Diceros bicornis minor: one gene and its partner. The protein of the gene in region 1 purifies or fractionates together with the protein of each later gene. This does not show direct contact. Links are inferred from orthologs where the notes say so. Each region holds a gene or a part of one and is shown on either strand. Other genes may lie near its edges. The genes, in order: SYTL4 and RAB3A.

Region 1 (11,526 bases):
AGCCAGAGAAATAGGAGAGCCAGGAGACTGTGATGTTCCAGAAACCATAGGAGGGGAGACTTTAACAAGGAAGAAATGGGCAACAGTGTCAAACGTTGCTAGAGTGTCAAAGGAAAATAAAACTAAAATACAGTCATTGCATTTTATAACAAAGAGTCCCTATCTTTTGCTTTCATATCCTGGTAAGTAATGGTTTTCTTTCCCCCAGAAATGCTTTTATTAGAATGAATGAACACCCAGAATAAATCTTTGACTAGGTCTTAAAAGTTTTCGGCCTTGCATTATCAACCTCCAAAAAACAAACCAGTCCTCGTCCTGCACTTACTTAGTTTTGGCCATAACCACAAAGGACCCATCCTCAATACAATTCAGTACATTTTTCCCTGACCTGGACTCTCTTCTTAAATCAAACAAAAAAATCTGCAATTGAGATCTGCATACAATTCTATGCCACTTCCCCCTCTAAGATTGTCCTTCTCCTTTCCCCCTACCCACCCTCTCTTTTCAAGAGTATAAGTAGAATATATAAAGAACTCTTAGAACTCAATACTAAAAAGACAAATAACAATTTAAAAATGGACAAAGGATTTGAATAGGCATTTCTTCAAAGCAGATATACTAATGGCTAATAAGTACATGAAAAGATGGTCAACATCATTAGTTATCAGGGAAATGCAAATCAAAACTACAGTGAGATATCACTTCATATCGAATGGATGTCTATAATCAAAAAACCAATAATAACAAGTGTTATGGAGGATGTGGATAAATTGGAACCCTCATACATTGCTGGTGGGAATGTAAAATGATGCAGCCACTTTGGAAAGCAGTCTGGTGATTCTTCAAAAGGTTAAACACAGAGTTACCATATGACCCAGCAATTTCACTCCTAGGTATATACACAAGAGATTTGAAAACATATGCTCAAAAAAACTCATACATGAATGTTTGTTTGAGCATTATTCATAAGAGTCAAAATGTGGAAACAACCCAAATGTCCATCAACTGATGAATGGATAAGCAAAATGTGGTATATCTATATAGCGGAATATTATTCAGCCATGAAAAGAATGAAGAATGATTCTAGTGACGTCACCAAAAATGATGGAGTAGAGAACTCCAGGGATCCTTGAATGACTATAGTTAGCTACTGAATAAGGTCCAAATTGTTTAAAATGACTCACAAGACCTCTGAAGTTCTAATCCCTACTCATCCGTTATGGATTGAATTGTGTCCCCCCAAAATTCATGTGTTGAAGTCCTAACCCCCCAGTACCTCAGAATGTGTCCTAATTTGGAAACTGGGTCATTGCACATGTAATTAGTTAAGTGAAGATGAGGTCATTAGGGTGGACCCTAATGCAATATGACTGGTATCTTTATAAAAGGGGGAAATTTGGACACAAGGACATATGCAGAGGGAGAATGCCACGTGAAGATGAAGGCAGAGATTGAGGTGATGCTTCTCTAGGCCGAGAAATGCCAAAGATTTCCAATAGACCACCAAGAGCTGGGCGACGGGATTAGAGTTTTCCTCACAGCCCTCAGAAAGAACTAACCCTGTAGACATGTTGATCTCAGACATCTAGCCTCCAGAACTGTGAGCCAACAAGTTTCTGTTATTTAAGCCACTCAGTTTGTGGTACTTTGCTATGGCAGTCCTAGCAAATTAATACATCATCTTTCTAGCCTCATCTATCATCACTTTTTTCTTGCACTTTATGCTCCAGCAATACCAACTTCCTTGTACTTCCTTTGTATAGACCTAGAGTTTCCAGCCTTTTTGTTTTTGCTTTTGCTATTCTTCTGCCTGGAATGCTTGGAATGCCTTTTTGGTCTAGCTAATTTCTATTCATTCTTAAAGATTCAGAGAAGCTATTACTTTATCCAGGGACCTTTCACTGACCACTCCCCACCAAGCTGGTGTAAGTGGCCTTCCTAGGTGCTCCCACATATCCTGTGTATCTCCCAGCTTTGCACTTTCCACACTATATTATAATTTTATGTTTGTGGTTTGCCTCCCCCCATGTCATGCAATAAACTGTGAATTCCTTGAGGAAAGGGTCACCAAAATCCCAGTGCCTGGCACAATATGCTTTGCACATAGTAGAAGCTCGAACATATCTTTGAATGAAAGGACTTTTTTTCAGTGTTTATTCATCTTCTTTCTTCCCATAGCACCTATAAAGTGCTTTGCATATAATGGGTGCTCAGTACATCTCGACTGGTGGTTCTCAGCTAAGGATATTTGGCAATATCTGGAGACATTCTTGGTTGTCACTACTGGCATCTAGTGGGTAGAGGCCAGAGATGCTGCTAAACATCCTACAATGCGCAGGATAGCCCCCACAACAAAGCGTTACCTGGCCCAAAATGTCAATTGTGCGAAGGTGGAGAAACCCTGATCTTGATTGAATAAGAGACTGAATCTACTTTTTACACCCTATACTCACTGAGGACCATTAGTGCACTAAATTTGCTTTGTCAGGAAGCCTGCATTTTTTGTTGTTTTTTACAAAAGTAAACTGTTACCCAACAGGAAATGAAGAGGTAGTGTCCTGGCATCCAGAATTAAGACTTTGGCGGGGCCGGCCCCATGGCTTAGCGGTTAAGTGCGCGTGCTCCGCTACTGGCGGCCCGGGGTTCGGATCCCGGGCGCGCACAGACGCACCGCTTCTCCGGCCATGCTGAGGCTGCGTCCCACATACAGCAACTAGAAGGATGTGCAACTATGACGTACAACTATCTATTGGGGCTTCGGGGAATAAAAAAAAAGGAGGGAGATTGCCAATAGATGTTAGCTCAGAGCCGGTCTTCCTCAGCAAAAAGAGGAAGATTAGCACGGATGTTAGCTCAGGGCTGATCTTCCTCACAAAAAAAAAAAAAAAGACTTGGCAATTGAAAAAAGTACTTGATCAATAGAAAAACAGATATATAAGTTACAATATCTTTACGCCTGGAATGCTCTATAGCAGTAAAAGTGAATGAATTAAAGCTACATATATCAATAGGGATAAATCTCCTAAGCATAATCTCGAGTGAAGATAGCAAATTGCAGACCGTACGTACAGAGTGATACTACCTATAGTTTTGGGATAGATACATATGTGGCAAATGTATAAAGACATACATGCAAATGATCAAGATAAAATCTGAGACAGTGAAAACCTTAGGATGGAGGTGTATACAGAGGGCTTCTGTTGTATTGGTAATGCCTTATTTCTTAACCTGGGTAGTGGGCATATCCTTGTTATATTATTCTCTATATATTCATGTACTTTTGAAATATTTAATACTTTTAAGAATGAGCAATTGCTCAATACTGAGGCATCCTGTCACCTGGGGCTGAGGAAAATCTCCATCTTATTAGTTTGCACCAGCCAGAACTTCCTCAGTGTGGCAAAGTTGAACAACTCATTGAAGCCAGTCATTCACTATGAGACAGCAGCTTACATACTATACATAGGATAATAATCCATAAGTTCCTGTTTACATTGCTGCACAGGATACTGCCTGGGTTTGCTTGCATTGGACCCCTCTCAGTATTTGGCATAAGAATTTGAGCACAGAGTCCTTGTGGCAAACAAGGAGGATCAAACAGAAATGGACAGCAGTTTGCAAAGCACAGAATCTATGTGAACAGGCCATTGACGAACTTTGTTTTGGTTCATTGTTTATGCTTGTCTCTGTGTATTTCCAGCTGGTTCAGTGAGACTATCTTAGAGTAAAGGAGTCAGATCCTCACATCCTCTTTAATGAGGTGGACCTTGGCGAGTGAGAAACTGCACACATAGAAAAAGGTAAAAAACCTAAAATAATATCTGGAAATTTTGCTGAAGAATAAGGGGATTGGACTAAATGTTTTCTGAAGTCCCTTCCGGCCAAGGGTGTTTCCAGTTCCTGCCAAGTACCAACTGCAAAGAAGGAGCAGAGAAGAGCTTGGTGGGAGTTTCCACAGGTCATGTTAGAGAGGTGGAACGCATTCAAAGCCTAGGGCTGAGCAGAGAGGCCCCAAGGACTGAGCTGGCAAAGCTAGACAAAACAAAAGGATTTCCTTTTTGAAGTGGTTTCTTCACACTTCAGGCTGCAGGTGGGTATTGAAGGGCTAAAGGATGGAAAAAAACTGTGGGGAGAGCCTGAGAGCTGAATTTTACTGTTTTGTCTGCCAGAATTAAAATGATTTTTCTCTTTCCCTTTTAATATTTTTCAAAAAAGATGTTTTATATTATCAAAGCCATATATGCTCATTATAAGAAAGTTGAAAAATACAGAAAAGTAGGAGGAAAATGAAAAATTCATTTAGTTCTACCACCTAGAGATAGCCACTATTAATATTTTGCATATTTCTTTCTAGTCTTTTTTCCACACCTATCCCCCAATTTCCATTAATTATTGTGACAATATTTTATATTAAATGTTGTATCCTACTTTCAATTAATATTAGACATAAGCATTTTCCTGTCATTATGAACTATGTGTAAATACCAGTTTTGTTGGCTATTATTCCATCGTATGATTATACTATAATTTACTTAACCATTGAACCATTAGGTTTTTTTTTCTAGTATTTTATTATTGTAAGTAATACTAGGATTAACATTGTTGTAGAAAAAGTTTGCAAATGTCTCTGTTTCCTTAGGACACATTCATTCATTCATTCTACAAATATTAGTGAGGGCCTACTATGTGCCAGGCACTATGCTAGGTGCCAAGTTTCTAACTTGGATGGCATATTGTCATTTACTGAAATAGGAAACACTGGAGGAGCAGCAAATTTAAGAGGAAAGATGGTGGGTTCAGCTTTAGATGTGTTGAGTTTGAGGTGCCTGCCAAACATGCAAGTGGACATGTCAAGAAAGCAGAGCTCAGTGAAGAGGTCTGGACAGAGCTATAAAATCACAGTCGTGGTCATATAGATGATAATTAAAGCCAAGTGAGTGAAAGAGATCATTTAGGGAGAGAGTATATGTAGCCCAGTCCTGAGAGTGTCCAGCTTTCAGAGGTTAGATAACAGAGTGGAATCTACAAAGGAGACTGAGGAGAGGGCAAAGGGGTAGGAGGAAAACCAAAAGAGTGTGGAGTCATAGAGGCCACAGGAAGACTTTTAAGGAGGAGAGAATGGTTAACAGCGTTAAATGTAGGAGAGAGGTCAAGCAAGATAAGGAGGGAAAAAGCCTTATTTATTTATTTATTTATTGACATAGATTTATTGACAGGGAGGTCATTGGTTGGGTATCTTGTTGAGCACAATTTCAGTGAAGTGTTGGGGAAGGAAGCCAAATTGCTGAATGAGAAGTAAGGGAATGGAGATTGCAAATGTACCTGTAAAGTACCTTTTCAATAAATTTGCCCTTAAAGAGGAGCTGGAGAGGTACCTAGGGTGTAGGGAGGACTTTTTTTTTAAGATGCCAGAGATTTGAGCATGTTTAATTGCTGATGACAGATGAGAGGGACTTGAGCAGGGTTAATGGCTGATGAGAAAAAGAGAGGGAGAGCAAAGGTGGGAGAGAGAGAAGGGGAAAGGAATCAACAATTACTAGGTAGATATAAACATTTAAAAATCTATTGATATATATTGGTCATATGCTTTTTAAAAGGATTTTTAACCAACATACACTCTTCCCAGGAATTATGTTAGAGCTTGTTTGGTGGCCACTTTGTCATCATTAAGTGTTATAAAAACAAACAAACAAAAAAATCCTTTGCCAAAGAATCTCATTATTGTTCTCATTTGCTCTTCTTTGATTACTAGTGAGTTGAATATTTTAACCAGTTGTGTTTGTGGGTGTGAAGTTAGTCTACGTCTTTACCCCAAATGTTTCTATTTTAGACAGACTTGTATTTGCCATAAAAGTATGAAAGTCAAAGGATCAGAATAGTATCATATTTTATCTTCTAAAATTTTATGGTCTAGACTCTGCATCGTCTTAGACACGAATCCCACTGTACACGACAGTTTGACAACTTTTGGCTCAGCAGAGCGCAAGAGGCAAGTGATTTATCATCTGAGAGAGTGACCACAGATGGAAGTAAAAGGCGGGGCAGGTCTAGTGTTAGACCCCTATCTCCAGTCCTCAAGCTCCCTTTTCTAACCCGGGACGACATTTCTCCAGTGCCTTAAGGCTGTGGCTCCCAGAGCTCCCCTTCGGGTGGCGCGGCCCCCTACTAAGGAGCCCGGAGCGCTGTGCGGCCCCTTTAAGAGCCCAGCTCCTCCCCGCTCTAGGGAAAGTTGCAGCTTTTTCCGCCTCCCGGGAGGGTGAATAGGGCAGGCCGCCGGAGCGGGGCTGCGGTCTTCTCTGAGTCGGAGACCCTGCCCTGAATCCGGCACTGGGACATCTCGCCCTCTCGCGGCACCTGTTGCAGGTGACAGGTAAGTCCGCGGCTAGCGACCGCCCCTTCGCCCTGGGTCGGGGCTCCTCCTGAGCCCCTAGCCCCTTTTCGCTGCCCAAGCGCCCCCACCCCCATCTCGGGGAGCCGCGCCCTCCCCTCCCCCCTTCCGCTCTCCCACTCTTTCCTCCTCCCCGGCTCTAGCTGACCGCCCGTCCCCTCTGCCCTGTCCGCCTGTCTGGACCGCACGCCCACGCTTGGACTCCGGTCTGCTTGGGCCGGTTCCTCCCCGCCACTTTGCTGTCTCCTGGGCCTCTGCGGGCCCTTGCCCCGGCCCACCCGTCGCTAGCGCGGGCTGTGCCCCTCCGGCTCTGTCTCCTCTCTGGCTCGCCTCGTGCCGGGCGGCTCGGCTTTTCCCGCCCGCCGGCGCTGGGGCCGCCCGAGCGCTGGCCCTGGCGGCGGGGGTGCGGCCGGCTGCCTAGCGGGCACTGCGCCCTCGGAGGCGTCGAGTCACCTTCTCCGCGGTTCCTCTCGCAGCGCCCGGCCCGTCGCGCGGGGTCTCGGCCCCGCACTGCTTCCGGACCTTGGACGTCGTGGCGTCGGCTTCCCTGGCCTCGGTCTGTCCGCCTCAGGTAAGGGCTGGAGGCCAGTTGGCCCCGAGTCCTGCCTCAGTGGACTCCCTCTGCGCTAGGGACTGGGGACCCGGCTGTGTGCCCTGGAGCCGAGCAGCTTTATCTTGCGACCCTTCAGGCAGGCTGCGGGGATTTGCTCCTGGAGGAGGGTCCCCAGAACCCTTAGAAGGGGCACAGAACGCTTTTGTCTTCTGTGATACTTTGCAAAGGGGCAGAGAGATGGGCCTCCAGCCATTCACGTGGGATGAGATGGTTGGGGTTTTTGGTAGTGAACTCATTTGGTTAGAATTCTGGCGACTTGAACAGGTGGTCTGTTTCTCATTAACTAACAGTTTCTTTCCCCAGCACCCTGCTTCTTCAGGACGAGAGGACCTAGCATTCCAGAATACTGCTTTTGGCAGAGTTGACCTTAGACCTTGTACATTTGTGACAGAAATTAGTCTTCAGTACATCCTGGACCTCCTATTTTTAACTGGCTTCTTTTCTGCTCTTTCAGCTCCCCACCCCCACCCCTCATAAATCCATTAATATTAAGGTGTTAATGACCTAATGTGTTTACCCGCTGGTCTGTGGAAAGAACAATGTTTAATGCAAAGAGTTGAGTCCCTGATGAAGGTTGTTGTCGTCGTTTTTTAGCACCTGCTGGAAATCCTAGTGGAAAAAGACCACTAACTTGGCTAACCAAATGATTTCCCTGGCAGGGAATGAACATTTCTGATAACATAATTTCAGGTGCCTCACTCTAGGTGGGAGCAGTGAAATGGAGTTTGGAGGCCTGTTCAGGCATAATCTGTGAGTGAGGGTAGCTTTCTGGTTGATGCTCTCTGGGCTTTTCCCCTTCAAGGCTGCTACTAATAATGGTTAGAATCCATTGAGCTGGGCACTGTGATAAATTCTATACATAACTATCTCATATAATCCTCATGGTAACTCTGCACTACAATTGTAACCATGTTATGGTGAAAAGGAGACTCAGAGGTTGAGTGCCTTGCCCCAAATCACCCAACTGGTGAAGGGCAGAGCTGGGCCATCTGACTGCAGGGCTTGTGTTCTTATCCCCTGTCACACCACCTGTGCTGTCTTGGATGTTGGGAACACTAAATAGCTCATAGGTGAGGACTAAGTGATTAAAAATTTCCCTTCCAAGCTGAAGCATAAGTTTTGGTCCTTGCCTCCACCTCAGATGCACTGCGGAGACTTTTGACTACTTACCTCACTGGTATTTTCCCCACTTGCCCACTTTACTTCCAACATGGGGCCAATTGCCACGTTGCCACTAAAAGCACACACCCCTGAGTGTACGCGGCTGAATGAAGCCTCTGGGGCACTCAGCTCTGTAGTAATTGTCCTGAAGTTAGGAGAGGGTAACTTTGGATCCTAGGGCTGACTCAACTCCTTCCTTTCCTGCTGGCTAGGGGAGAAATGAGAGTGTGGGAAGTGATAAGGATTTCCCAGCAACCAGACCAGGGAGCCTGAGGGTGAGTGTGTTCTTGGGATGGATGGAGTACCTTAGGCAGGGACAGTCCAGGAGAAAATGTCCTCCCTGATCCCATTTCTGGGCCTTTGCTCAAGCTGCTCCTTTTTTTTTCCCCCTGAAAAGATAACTTGCCATTCAGACTCACTCCTCTGCCATTGATTCCTATTCATCTCTCAAGATTTAGCTTTAAAGTCACTTCCTTTGGGACAACCTTACTGAACACACAATTCCTTCCCCTAAGCAGAATTACCAGTTATCCTGTGTCCTAAAGCACTTTGTTTACACCTTAGGAAAGCCCTAACACCTCTCTTAGTTGTTTTTCACCTGCTTTCCCTAACCACCCTATTTAAACTTGCAACCCCTTCCCTGAACATTCTATATGCCTCTTCCCTATCTTATTACTCCAGTGTAACATATTGTGTATTTTATTCATTTTTCTTTTTTATTGTCTGTTCCTCTCCCCACTCCATAATGTAAATTCCATGTGGGCCGGGATTTCTGTCTGTCTTATTCACCAGTGGATCCCAGCACCCAAAACAGAGCCTGGCACCTCATAGGTGCTTACTAATATTTGTTAAATGAATTAATGAATGACATGACCGTTCTAGGAATTGGGCCTCTTTTGTGCTCTCCTGGACCTGAAACTAAGTGTCCCCAGTCAGTCACCCTATAGCTATAAGGTTGCCTCAGGCCCAGTTCTCACACAGCTTTCCTTCTGCTGAGTTTTGCTTTCAGATTATATTCCTGATGACAACTTGGACCTAGTTGGAAGTACTTCCTCTCTTTTTTTAAGGCATGAGTCTCTGAATGGAAACTTCTAAAGTTTAAAGTGGAAATGTAAAGATGCTGTGCTTCTTGTGGGTGGGAAGGGGGGCTGCACTGAGAGGAAGGGACATGGATTGTCAGATGTTTTGAGGTGTTTTAGGCATTTGGTGTAAGCGTAAGTAAGAAGCAGGTGCAAGTTACTGTGCAGTAGGGAAGCGAACAGCCCAAAAGGATAAAAGATGCCGCGAATTAAGCTTCTGACCGCAAGTCACCCTTAGCCTTTTAGGCATGAGGTAGTTATCGGATTATGAATTTTATGAAAAAGCCATTGCTGAGTGCTACTTGTGTAGTACTTGACTAGTTTTATACTAGGAGAATTATACAGTGTGAGGAAACCACTACGTAACATAAAAGAAAAAAAGTTCTATTACGTTTAAATGTATTTTGAAATATCCAGAAAGAAAAAAAGGCTAGAATCCCTTAAAAGACAGGCTTGGAAGGAGTTGGGCCCCCTGTTATGGTGGTAAGTATGTGATTCTCCACCATCTGATTTATGTTAACTTCTTTGAAACTCAAGTTTGTACAAAAAACTTCTGCTCAGCCCCTTCTTCTACTAAATTTATCTCCCCAACTTCTGAACATTGGAGTGACGCAGGGCTCAGTCTGTGGACTTTTCTCCATCCAGAATCTTCCTAGAAGCACTCCTCCAGCCCCATGGCTTTAAATACCGTCTATCTATACACCTCATCACTCCCAAATTTATGTCTCTGACCCAAGCCTTTCTTCTAAGCTGCAGCTTCATTTGTCCAGTGGCCTGTTTGACATCTCTACTTGGGTGTCATATAGATATCTCAAACGTAGCATGGCCAAACAGGACTCCTTATTCCTCTCACATCCCCAGCCCCTTCCCTCAGCCTCCCCTATCTCAGTAAAATAGCACTATCATCCATTCAGTTGCTCAGACCAAGAACCTAGGGTCACCCTTGATTCCTCTCTTTCACCCGCCCCCCGCATCCAATTCGTCAGCAAGTCCTGTTGACCTGACCTTCCAGCTGTGTCATATATTCTGCCACGTCTCCATCTCCTCTGCCTATCACTCTAGTCTAAGCCACTACAAGGTTGCAATAAACATCTTTGTACAATGCTCGAGGATGGCTATAGATATAGACATACACACACATAAATATTTCTGTGGGATAGCTTTCTAGTAGGAGAACTGTTGGGTCAAAGGATATGTACATTTAAAAATGTGAATGAGCATCGCCAAAGTGACATCCAAGAAGGTTTACACTCTCACCACTGAGACTGCTTTTCCTCAGGCCCTTGCTGAGGATGGACAGTCTTTTTAATTTTTGCCAATCTGATAGGTGAAAAATAGTATCTAACTGATTTAACTTGCATTTCTCTGATCACTAGTGAGGCTGAGTATCTTTTCATGTGTGTTAGCTATGTGTATTTTTCCTGAGACTTACTCTTTAATATCCTTTGCACATTTTTCTTTTGGGTTATATATTTAATTTGTTTATAAGAACAGTATATTTATTAGGAATATTTACCCATTGCCTGTTATATAGTGCAAGTTTTTTTCTCTCTAGTCTGTCATATGTCATAACTTTGTTCATGATGTGTACCCCTCTTGTAATAAGATAAAACACACTATAAAACATTTAAAAAACATGTTCATTAGATTTGGCAATTAGGAGGTCAATGACGACATCAGTGCTGCGGGAGGAGAGAAGGCAGATTGTAGAGGGTTGGGGAGTGAGCATGAAGAAGGACTGATAAGGAATATGGTATACAGTTTGAAGAGGCTTGGCTATGATGGGAAGGTGAGAGTGTTTCTTATAGACAGTAGGGCACAGGGGACAAGAAAATGTTGTTAATTTCATTTTGTTTTAAATATAGGAGAGAGATGAGCCCATTTATGTGTAGATGGCACAGACCTTGATGAGGCAGAGTCTCTGAGGAAGCAGGAGGGTGGGGGCTCCAGATTGAAAGAGGTGAAAAGATTGGCATTAGAGAAAGGGAGGTAGCTCTCCCATTGAGACAGAGCAATATATTTTTTCCTTAATATTTGTGGCAAGCCGGCCTGGTGAAGCTGTGAAGAAGGAAGGGGCTGTGGAAGGACAGGATTTTGAGGGAGGACCCATCTGACGAGAGTGATGAGGAGTTGGAATAGCATTTGAGAGGGGTGGAAAGAGGAGCTCTTTAGAAGCATATCATCCAGATACCACATCATAGTGAGTCAAGAAAGGCTTGGATAACTTGAATTTGTCTCTGCCCCAAGTCCCAGAACCCTGTATCCATTCTCTTCAGCGGCACTCG
Region 2 (11,870 bases), on another chromosome or scaffold:
CTCCCCGCCCCCGCAGGTCTCTGCCTTCCTCATTCTGAGACTGCCCCGGACTCTCCCTAGGGGAAAGGAGGCCTCTGACCCTTCTTGCCAGTCATCGCCCGTTATGGGCCTCAGTTGCCCGTCTATGGCCTATCCTAGTCCTTGGGTAAACTTTGGTTGAGGGGTGGTGTCTGTGACCTCCCTGAAATACCTTAGAAAGTTGGGGCATTGAACATTTTCTGGGGTTAAATGAACCTTATTACACAAAATTATTACCGTGTCCATTTCGCGGATGGGGAAACTGAGGCGCAGAGCAATTCTATTGCCCGCTCTAGGCCCACAGCTGGGCGCTGGACGTGCGCCAGCGGCAGCCCCACTGCGCCTGGTTTGGTCGAGCTCTTCCTGGGGCAGGGGCGGCCTCTCGGCGAGCAGATGAGGCGGCTCGGTGCTCAAGTCTCGGGTTCGATTCCGGCCTCTGCAAGCCTCAGTATCCCCCCCGCGCCTCCCTCCCCGAGTGTGAAAATATATACATGCCACAGGCTTTGCAGCGGCTCCCGGCTTCCTCCCTCAATAATTCCACCGACAATTCCAGTCACCATCACAGCTAACGGGCAGATGCCACAGAGGGGGAATTAAAGGTCATCTGGGTCGGGAACTTGGTACCTTTCCTTCCAGACTTTTAAAAGGCAGAGATTTAGGGGATTTTTATTTATAATTTTTTCTCCCTCCCCCTTTACTTACAAGTAATACTTGTTCACTGTAGAGAATTTGGAAATAATGGAAATATATACAGAAAAAAATTAAATTATGCTATAACTTTACCCATAGATCATCTGCCTTCAGTATTTCATCTGATTTCCCTCTAGTTCTTTCTCCACCCGTTCATGAGAACATTCATACCTTCCCCTTCAATTTGGGCCACAGGCCATCCCTCCCTCTCCCCAGTACTGAGCACACTCCACCCACAATGGCTTTCCACACCCCAAGCACGGCCCTGCCCCAGGGCCTTTGCACATGCTGTGCCCATCACCTGGACTACTTCTCCCCCTCATCCTCACCCTTTGGGCCTCATCCCAGTGTCTCTTCCTCCAGGAAGCCCTCCCTGGCCCCTCCACCGTGATCCCCAGAGGCCTGGGCCAGGTCCACCATGCCATCTTCAGTGTCCCCCAGAGATGGACTTCGACAGCTTCAGCAAGTTGCTTCACCTCCCTGAGGCTTTGTCCTTTCCCCGGGTGAAATGGGCTCTTCGTGAGGACCACATAATTGCAGAGGGTGACATTTGAGGAGAGTGTGTCCTGAGCCAGGCACTGAGCCACCTGCTCAAAGTCAGATCAACTCTGCCTCTTTCTTCTCCCATTTCACAGATGTGGAAATCGAGGCCCATGCTCCAGGTCCCCAATTTTCTTCTGCTTGGGGCCCTTCCCAAGGGGCACAGTCCTTGCCTTTGTGGCCCATCCTAGACCCAAAGAGGAGGGTGGGAGAAGGTCTTCAGGGCCCCTAGAACTTTCAGCCCTGGTGAACTCCTAGCGTGACTCTCAGGACCTTGGTTTGCCTTCTGTTAAAGGAGAAAATGTTGCCTGTCCTACCTCCCTCCCAGAACTGGAGAGGGGCTGTCCTTCAAGCTTCTTTAGTGAGTTCCGGCCTCAGGACCTTTGCACGTGCTGCTCTGTCTGGAATGTTGTTCCCCTACCTCTCCCTGTGGCCAGCTCCTTCTCCTCCTCCCTCAGGTTTCTGCTTAAATGTCGCGTCTTCGGAGAGGTCCTCCCTAATCTCCCTGGCCAAAGTCACCCTCCCTCCAATCATTCATTCATTCATGTCATGCCATCACAGGGCACTGACTGTGTCCACAGGTCTAGGTGCTGGGGACACAATCCCTGCCTCTCAGAGCTCACAGATGCCTAATGGATAAATAAGTCAACATGATCACTTCTCATGGGGATGTGACAGGAGGTGACAGGGCAAAACTGGAATCTCTGGAAGGAGGTGGGTGTTGATCAGAGACCTCAAGGGGATGAGAGAACCAGACATGGGGTGGGCTGAGGGAACAGTGCTCCAGGCAGAGGAAACAGCAGGTGCCAAGGCCCTGAGGCAGGATTGCACCTAGAGCCAGAGGAGGGCGTGTCTGACTGGAGGAGAAAGATAAGACGTGGAGGTAGCTGGTGGGACCTGGGATTCCAGGAGGAGTCTGGACTTTACTCAGAGTGGGGTGAGATTTGGGAGAGTTTGAGGCCCTTCTCCCACTGGCTCTTTCCCCTGCCACGCAGGAGACCCACCCCCACAAATCCACAGTCCTGTCTCCCCCACCCCCACCCTGGCGCTCAACCATCCCTAATTCCAGAGCCGAATGCTGATTCTTAACAACATAGGCCTTCCGTTATTTTTGTTTTAAAATACAAAGTCGTCTGTGCAGAAGCTGGTGCATGTTGTTGTGGGCTTTCTCCCCACGAGAAAAAACGAGTAGGGACTTCCGAGCGCCATCCACGTACAAAGCCCGAGGAAACCTGCGTTAGGGCGGTCGGGGAGCTGAGCGGCCTCGCACGACCTCACCGCCAAGGGGCCGCGGCCGGGGCGGACCAGCCGCGCTTGGGGCCCCACCCAGAGCGGGGACTCCACTGCCGGTCTCTGCGTGGGGGGAGACTGTGGTGGATTTACTTTCATCTATTTTTTATGTCATTTTCCCAATTCTTTGCGGTGGGTTCGTGGTACTTCGATAGTCCAAGTGGGGGAGAGGGACAACGTTAGCCTTAGAAAAAATAGATTTCCCAAATGCAAGCGGAGCGGGAGCGACGTCCCTGCGCTTCCAGGGCGCTGGGGGCGGGGGCGGCCTCGAGGCGAGAAGCTATTCTGGTCTCCCGGCGCCTCCGCAGCTGGAGAGCCTTCTATAACCAGGACGAGCCCCGCCCCCGCCCCCCGCTCCATCCCTGCCTGCTGGGGAGGAATGGGGGGGGGTCAGCATTCTCCTGGGGCCGCACCCCCCCCCGCCGGGTCTGGGGACAGGAGTCGGGGGGCAGGGACCTAGGATGGGGGCCCGGGTCTCACTCTCCCGAGCCCCCCTCAATTCTAACTTTACCCCTTTAAGACTTGGGGGAATAAACGATGGAGCAACTCAGTCCCCAAAATCTCCATCTCTGAGTCTTGTTTCCCCAGGATGGAGGAGGGGTCTCTCCGTCCTCGCCTTTGGACTCAGGATCTGGGGTGGGTACAGCACGTCCCATCCCGCGTCTTTATTGTTGGGTCTTTGAACCTCGCTCGGACACTTCCTGTAACCGCAGGCTCTGGGGCTTTAGGGGACAGACCCTTTTCTGCCCTCCTTCCGCCTTTTCTTTGAATTTTTCTCTGGAAAATGGGGTGCACGGAGGGGAGGGGTTCCCGGAGCGCCCGCCAGCCCCTTCCTTTTTTCTGGGAACTGATGAGGAGGGGTGGCTCTCTGGACTCCTATTTCCTCTTTCTCCTTTTTTGTCTGAGAAACAGGGTGGAGCAGCTACCAGCCGGGCTCTCTTTGCGGGATTTACATCTCAGAAATTGGACGGGTCTCTCTTGACCCCTATTTACTCTTTTTGTTCTTTCGTACTTATTTGAACCCCATAATAGCGGACATGGAGCATCTGTCGGACCTCTGTTCCTCTCTTTTGAAATTGGAAGTAGGGGGCTTTTAACGAGAAGTCACAGCACCTAAGCCCGGACGGCGGCCGCTGCAGTCCCTGACCGGAGGTGGGCGGGGGCGGGGAAGTGGAACGTCCCCTGAAGACCCACGCTCGGCCAAGGCCTCAACCTCTCGGCTCTTCAACCACTCAGAAGCCACCATTGGACAGGGGAAGAGAGTGACGACCTCTATTGGCTATTCAGTCCGTCGCTCAAGCACTTAAGCCAGTGAGAAGGCGCCGCACAGCCACGCCTCCGTAACACGAAAGAGAGGCGGAGCCGGCAGGCGATCCTCCCCGCCTGCACCGCCCCCGCCCGCTACTGGGTGCGCACGCTGGGCCCCGCCCCATTTGCATGTCCATCTGCGCGGGAGCCCCGCCCCCCGGATCTGAGCGCGTCAGTGGGCCACATCGCTATGCGCGGCTCCGCCTCAGGATGGCGTCACGGCAACATCTGCATGTGAGGCCCCGCCCCGCTCTTTGCAGGACGTCACCGCGGACTGCAGGGGCCTGAGCCGCCGCCGCCGCCGCCGCGCAGCCCCACATCAGAGCACGGGGCCCCGTCACCGCCGCTAACAAAAAGTCGCCGCCGCTGGGGTCGCCACTGCATCGGTGCAGGGCAAGGTGAGCTCCCGGGCGGCCCGGTTCGCTTCGCTTCGAGCACCTACATAACCTTCATTTGACTGATGGGCTGGCGGGGGTGGGGGAAGAGGTTGGCGAGGGTTAAATGGCGGGGAAGGATGCGGCGGTCGCGGGTCTGGGAGAGGTAGGGCCCCGGCTTCCCCTACCTGCCGGATCCTCACCACTCCCACCCCCCCACCCCCGGCTCTGCGGCGGAGGGGGAGGGGAGGCGAATGCCTTGCGGGAAGCTGTGCGCGCGGGAGGCTCTGTGCGTGCGCGTGCGCGTGGTGTGCACACGCGTGTGCGCGTCCGCCTGTGCCGGCGGGTCTGTGTGTACCCTTGTTTGTGTGCCAGGGCATGCTCGTGTGACCCCGTGGGGGTCCGACCCAAGTGTGTGCGTGCTGCACGCGTGTGGAGGGAGACGCGTGGACTGTGCGTGTGCGTGCACGGCCGGGTGCCTACGTGCACGAGGATGCGTGCCCGTGTGGGTAACGTCTACACGCCTGCATGGGTGGAGGGCGCCGTGCGCACGGTGGGTTTGCACATTTGTGTATGCATTTAGGTATGCAGACAGGTGCCTGCGTCTCTGTCCTGTGCACCGAGTGTGTCCGACGCTCATATGTGCACTCGCATGTACGGGTGAGTGTGTGCCCTGACGTGTGCACACCCCGCCCCTATCACGTGATGCAGCCTCTTCAGCCGGAGCTCTCCCAGCCTGGGAGTCTGGGGGAAGGAGGGCTGCTGACGCGCGTCCCCGCGGGACTGTACACGAGTGTGCACGTGTGCCCGCGTGGCTGTGTTCTGAGGAACATGTATGATTGATGGGGGGCGGGGCCGGCCGCAGTCACCCGTCTCTGCGCGGTAGGGTTTAGGGTTACAGCCCGACCTGGGCTCAGGTCTGCTGGAGGGGGCTGCAGGGGTGTCCCCATCCCCGTCGCTCTGAGCTCCTCCCCTGAAACCTCTCGCCTTTCAAGGTCACTGCACGCCCGCCCTCTGCGGTGGGTCCCACCGTAGGTCCTGGGGCTCCTGATGGGCTCTCTGGAGCTCTGGGGTTCTCTCCGTCCTGTGCCTGGGCCTGGGCGGTTGGGGATGGAGGGAGACCCCTCACGCCCGCCTACGCCCCCGCACCCCCAGATGGCGTCCGCCACAGACTCGCGCTACGGGCAGAAGGAGTCCTCGGACCAGAACTTCGACTACATGTTCAAGATCCTCATCATCGGCAACAGCAGCGTGGGCAAGACGTCTTTCCTCTTCCGCTACGCGGACGACTCCTTCACCCCCGCCTTCGTCAGCACAGTGGGCATCGACTTCAAGGTCAAGACCATCTACCGCAACGACAAGAGGATCAAGCTGCAAATCTGGGTGGGTCCGGCCGGGGGTTCCTGGCTCCGTCAGTCTGGCTCCCCGGAAAAGCGGCCCCAGCTTGACTTATCTCTTTCCTGTCTGCATTCATCCATCCACGTGCTAGGCATTTATTAGGCACTTACTGTGTACCACGGGCTAGAGACATAGAAGAGAGTGCATCTGTTCTCCCATCGGCGCCTAATTGGTGCTCTCCAGGGGTAGGGCAGGAGCAAATCCTTCGTCCTTTCCTACCCTTCCTTGGGAGCATCACTTGGCCTGGTGCCTCAGTTTCCCCATCTTCAAGTTCTTTCATGTGAGCCTGTGTGAAGTTTTACTGAAGCTTGGCTCCCAGCCTCATCCCCAGGGTCCCCTGGCCTGAGGGAGCCCATTAAATCCCGTCAGAACCATCCCTTCTCTGCCCGCAGCCCTCCCCTGGCCCAGCAGGCCCGCCTGGGCTGTCCCTGCCCCTCCCCCATCTGCTCCCTGCCTCTCCTCAGCTCCTCACCGTCCCTCAAACATGCTGGCACAGCCCAGCTTCAGGGCCTGTGACAGGCCGTGCCCTCCACCTGGACAGTCTTCCCCCAGGCCCACACAGCCCTTCCTTACTTCCGCCGGGATTTTCAGCCGTGCCCCAGCCCACACTGCCCATCCTCGCTCAGCTCTATCTTCCTCCGCAGCCCTTACCACTCTCCAAAGATGGATCTGTTTTCTTCCTTTGCACGTGTTTGCTGTCTTTCCTGCACTGGGATGTCGGTTCCACAAGGGCAGGGATTTCCGTCCATTTTGTTATCAGCTGTGTCCTCAGTGCCCAGTGCCGAGTGTGGCACTGGTCAGCGCCCAGTGTATGTGCGTTGAATGAATGTGGGAACGATTCTGCAGGTAACAGACTCTGTAGGATGATGGAGCACCACGTTCTTGGCGCAAGGGCTGCTCACCTTCCCTGACCCACTGTGCCTCTGGGCGAGCCCCTGCTCCTCTCTGGCCCTCTCGGGGGCTGGACTGGACGATCTCAGAGCTCATTTCTACTCTGAGGAGCTTACATGTGGGTCCTCTCTGACCTCCTGCTCTTCTTCCCCAGGACACAGCAGGGCAAGAGCGGTACCGGACCATCACCACAGCGTACTACCGGGGCGCCATGGGCTTCATCCTCATGTACGACATCACCAACGAGGAGTCTTTCAATGCCGTGCAGGACTGGTGAGCACACCCCCATCCCCGCTCAGACCATCTTCTTCTTCTTTTTTTTTTTTTGTGAGGAAGATCAGCCCTGAGCTAACATCTGCCAATCCTCCTCCTTTTTGGCTGAGGAAGACTGGCCCTGGGCTAGCATGACCATCTTCCTCCACTTTTTATGGGACGCTGCCACAGCATGGCTTGCCAAGCGGTGCGTCGGTACACGCCCGGGATCCAAACCGGCGAACCCCGGGCCGCTGCAGTGGAGCGCGCACTTAACTGCTTGCGCCACCGGGCGGACCCCGCAGACCATCTTCTAAGCCAGGCTTGGTGCACAGCCCGGGGCACAGGCCAAGATGAGGGAGCCCCAGCCCCCCTGGCAGGAATGTAAATGACAATATTGGGTGTCCCAGCCCTGCTGTCAATCTATACTTATTAAAACAGGGTGGCACCAGCTCAAAATAATGAGAAGAAAGGATTTCAGGTAGAAAATGAAACTGTAAACATATAGGAAAAAAAATATGGGGGGTGGACAGAAAACATAAGGATGGTTTGCACAGGCCAGAGGATATAAACAGTTATATTTGTTGTCCAGCAGTAATGGTAAATTTTAGGAAAATTTGTGAATTTGCGGAGGAGGGAAAAATTCCTCTCTCCGGGGGGCAGGGGTCTGGGAAGGGTGGGAGAGGCTGTTAAAGAGGGATTTCCGCAACCAGGGGCCCGCTCGAGCAGACACCAGGAGAGAGCAGAGTGCTCCGGCCAAAGGCTGCAAGGAGGCGCGGCGCCAGCCACGGTCGGGGTCGCGGGGAGGTGGGGCTGGAGGGCTGAGCGAGGGGCAGATGAGGCAGGAGGGTGGAGCTGGGACCCTCCAAGGCCTAACCCTCACGTCACCCCAGGTCAACCCAGATCAAGACCTACTCGTGGGACAATGCCCAGGTGCTGCTGGTGGGGAACAAGTGTGACATGGAGGACGAGCGGGTGGTGTCATCAGAACGCGGCCGGCAGCTGGCTGACCACCTGGGTGAGTGCCCAGCAGGGCTGGACACCTACAGGCTAGAAAAGGGAGACAGGCCCTGCAGGGAGGGGACACCCCCCGCCCCACAGCAAAGCCAGGACAGGGCCTGGGTTCGAATCTAGACAATTCACTTCCTGCAAACTGGCCTTGATCCAGGAGCCATCTGAGGTAGATCTGGGTGGCTTTGTAGGAGTTCACTATGCAGAAGTTACTGATTCATTCTGACACCTTCACGGCCTAGCCTCGTGCTGGGAGTTGCTGGGCCCCCGAGAGGCCTCCAGTCTTGTGGGGTAGAGGGAGGGACTTGGGCTGGGAGAGCCAGGCTCTGCCTGCTGTAGATATGACTTCCTGGGGCAGGTGGGGCACTGCATCTGGTGCTTGAAGAAAGGGTGGTCTTTCAGGCAGAGGAAACAGCTTAGGCAAAGGCCAGAGGTAGGAAACATCCTGTGTGTTTTGGCAAATAATTTTACACGGCTGGAATGCGAGGGATCACTTGGAGGAAATGTGGCCTGAACCACGTGCTGAGGGCAATAGGGAACCATGGAGTGTGTGTGAGCAAGGGAGGGCACGGCTGGATGTGAGTGTAGGTGCTGCCAGGGCCAATGCATGGGGCTAGGATGGAGGGTGGGAGCAGGGAAGTGGGTCTTGCCAGAGCCCTGAAGACAATGAAAAGGGCACAGTTTTAGGTAGAGAAAGAAGTGCAGGAAATACAGGGCTGACCCAGTCCAATGTTGCTTCCTCATGGGACTTGTCAGTGCCTTCATCGTGCAGTCGGCACTGGGAATCTCCGGTTGTTCCCTGGCCTCAGAGCTCTCTGCGAGTGGGAGTACCAGGGCCCTCACCCTTCCTGTCCGTGACCGCAGGGTTCGAGTTCTTTGAGGCAAGTGCCAAGGACAACATTAATGTCAAGCAGACCTTTGAGCGCCTGGTGGACGTCATCTGCGAGAAGATGTCCGAGTCGTTGGACACGGCCGACCCCGCGGTCACCGGCACCAAGCAGGGCCCCCAGCTCACGGACCAGCAGGCACCCCCACACCAGGACTGCGCCTGCTGAGACCTGCCCTGCGCCCCACCCTCCCGGGGTCTGACCCGGCCCCCACCGACGGCGGTTTGAGACCCCTGCCCCAGCGTGGCCCGTCACCTTATTTATTATCGTAGCTATTTATTTATTTATTGGAGATGTCCCCCAGGGGCTCGGGCGCCCCACCCACCCATGCCCCACCCTGTACATACACCCCTGTCCCCACTCTGCCGTGGTGTGTCGTGGCCCTGTGAACTCACCGCTCACTCTCCTCTCGAGACCCCACGTTTTTTTTAATTCACCCCCATCAAGAGTTATAGGTTTTGAAGAGGGGGGCAGATGACACCCCAGGGCAGGCTGATTGGGTGATGGGAGGTGGCCAGGCCTGCCAGCCCCTTGGCTGTGACCCAGTAGGCGGAGGCCGCTGTGGGCATCTCATCGTGGACCGCGGGTGGGTCAAAGCTAGGCAACCGCCTGCCTGGCTCCTGGTCCCCAGTCTCACCTTTTTTTGGAGGGGGCGCTGCTGTGTGGGTACTCACCACCCTGGGACCCCCCCACCAGACCTCTTCTGATGTCATGAGTGTCAAATGTGACCCCCTGCCCCCCCAGGAGATGTCATGACAACACTACACACACCCAATAAAGCGAATGGACGACGCCGTGTCTCTATGAGCGCCGGCCCAGCGCTGGCTTTGGTCACCCACAAGGTTTTCAGTTACAGAGAGAATTTAATAGAATCTCCACAGTCCGTGACAGAGGAGGAGACTGGAGGCTGCCTGGCCCTGCCTATGGCCCCAGAGCCTGCGAGCGACTCCAGGCAGGCTCTGCTGAGAGGGGACAGGTCATTTCCCCACCTGGGACCCAGGGCGTGGGGGAGCCCATAGCAGTATTGAGGGGTTGGGGCTTGGGACTGGCTGGGGCCCCATGCTGAGCATGGGACATCTCCGTCACTGGTCGCTGAGGCTCCTGGTGAGAAGGGTGGAGATGACTCCATCTTCATGGTTGTGTTCCAGATGGGGAAACTGAGGCCGGGTAGTGGGCAACCCAGCCAGGGGCCCAGGGATTGGGGTGAGGCTGGACTCAGCCCAGGACCCTGACTTGGCCTGCTGTGGGGCCCGGTCCCCTTCCTGCCCAGGCGGATGGTCAGCTGGGGGTCAGTCTTGCCCTGTCTGGCATCCGGTCGGGGAGTGGGGCAGCTCAGCCTGCATGGTGCCCAGGGCCCCGCAGCCTGGGGGCGCCCGGGGGCCCGGGGTCTGTCTGCACAAGAGGGTGTGGTCAAACACCCCATTAGGCCCCTCCTCACCCAGCCCTCCTCCATCTGTCCCGGGGCTGGCGTCAGCCTCCCTGGACAGAGGTGACAGGGACCCAAGGTCACATCACAGCAGAGCTAGGCTCAGTCTGAACCCTCTTGGCCGTCAGCTCCCTGTCTGCCCACCGTGGGGTGCGGGTGTCATGGGCACAGGAGGCCCTCACCCTGGAGGATGGTTGTACTGCCCTCTGCGGCTCACACGTGTGGCCCCTGAGGAGTCCCCTGGGGGCCTGGGCCGCCCACCGCGCTCACCCGGTACTTCAGGTAGGAGAGGTATGTGTCCCAGCCCAGCGTCAGGCCGTTGATGTAGGTGACTCGGAACGGGGCGGGCACGAAGAGGAAGTTCACCAGCTGCGCAGCGGGCCACACGCACCAGTCGGCCTGCGGGGCGGGGCGGAGTGCGGTGAGGGGCGGGGGCCTGGAGGGACCTGGGCGTGGCCAGTGGTTGCGGGGGGCGGGGCTAGCGCGCGGGTGTGGCCTGCGGGCACGCCCACCTTGTAGAATTCCCAGAACTTGTCCCGCAGCTCCTGGCAGCTCTCATCCAGGGTCTGGCCCTCCAGGCAGCCAAGGCCTGGGAAGGAAACCAAGAAATGAGGATGTCAGAGGCTGCGGAGTCCCGATGACGGCGCGGCGGGACAGGACCTCTGAAGGACGGAGTGTCCCAGGCCGAGGAACCAGGATGCTCAGAAGCCTTGATGGGGGAAAGGCGGCCCAGCAGGGTGGCCGGTGTGGGGACACAACACAGAACAAGTGGTCCCAGTAAGGGAGAGAGGTTCTAAACAGGTGCTCCAAAGGAAGGCGACACCCTTCCCGAGGCTAGGCTGCTTCACTACCTGCCCTTCATCCATGCAGAACCGAGCCTGGGGGTGGGGAACGAGCCAAGCGCCGGGCTCACTGCGCCCCATCAAACCCAGCAATCGTCCTGGCCCCAGCAACTCTTCCTTCAGCCTTAGGGCCTTTCCATGGGCTGTTCCTCCCGCCTGCTGGCTCCTTCTTCAAGTCTCGGCTGAGTGTCCTCTTCTTTGGGAAGCCCTCCCAACCACTGCCCAAGACAGCCACATGAGACACTGTCCTCGCCCCTTCTACACTTTCCACCATTGTCTGTGATTCTGCCACTCACGCCCGCCCCCACCGGGTCTATCCGGTCACCACTGTGACCTGGCGCCCAGTCCAGGGCCACCCACACAGGAGACACATCTGAAGTGCACCTCAACACTCTTAACACAAAGCTGGCTCTGCCCCTCCTGACCTACGAGGGGCCAAGCCCAAGCGCACAGGGCTCCTTACCCAAGAAGTACCAGACGCCCAGCAGGGGAGAGGCCACCAGCTGGTCCACGAGGACCTTCCTGAGGACGTTGGAGAGGCCGCGGAGGCCGGACGCGGGGAGCAGGCGGTCCAGCCAGAGGTACCAGTAGTGCAGGAAGGGGCCCATGCTGCAGCCCACCGCAAACATGCTCGCTGAGGGCGCCCGAAGAGTCAGGGGCGTCAGGCGGGCAAACTCCCAATCCACTCCCTCCCTGGCTCAGACCTGGGTAAGCCTGACCCCGCCAGGGGCTCCTCTCAGATCTTCTTACCTCCTTCCCTCACCACCCTGCGGGGGGGGGTTCTACCATGACCCCTACCCAAAGGAGGAAACTGAGGCACAGCGGGTAGGGAAGTGTGAGGCAAGCACGCGACCCCAGGCTGGCCGGTCCAGGGCGCTGTCCAGGGCGCTGCGCCCTTGACAACCGGGAAGCCAGGGGAGCGGACGAGGGGGCCCAGGGAAGC

The links.
Region 2: the proteins of SYTL4 (region 1) and RAB3A purify together in Homo sapiens (affinity purification with mass spectrometry; 3 studies listed by BioGRID and IntAct, counting the BioPlex papers as one, with this or other methods). This does not show direct contact. The link is inferred for Diceros bicornis minor from reciprocal best matches to the Homo sapiens genes SYTL4 and RAB3A.

What each region holds. Positions count from the first base shown.
Region 1 is NC_080781.1:93,786,112-93,797,637, reverse strand, and holds the start of SYTL4 (synaptotagmin-like protein 4), read left to right. Parts: upstream 1-6,282; 5' UTR 6,283-6,370; intron 6,371-6,481; exon of another isoform or gene 6,482-6,959; intron 6,960-11,526. UniProt on the Homo sapiens protein: Modulates exocytosis of dense-core granules and secretion of hormones in the pancreas and the pituitary. Interacts with vesicles containing negatively charged phospholipids in a Ca(2+)-independent manner.
Region 2 is NC_080759.1:5,872,181-5,884,050, reverse strand, and holds RAB3A (ras-related protein Rab-3A), read left to right. Parts: upstream 1-4,513; 5' UTR 4,514-5,270; coding exon 5,271-5,603; intron 5,604-6,663; coding exon 6,664-6,782; intron 6,783-7,654; coding exon 7,655-7,779; intron 7,780-8,636; coding exon 8,637-8,827; 3' UTR 8,828-9,450; downstream 9,451-11,870. Other genes in the region: MPV17L2 (mpv17-like protein 2), read right to left, coding at 9,581-9,760, 10,356-10,484, 10,598-10,674, 11,391-11,561. UniProt on the Homo sapiens protein: The small GTPases Rab are key regulators of intracellular membrane trafficking, from the formation of transport vesicles to their fusion with membranes.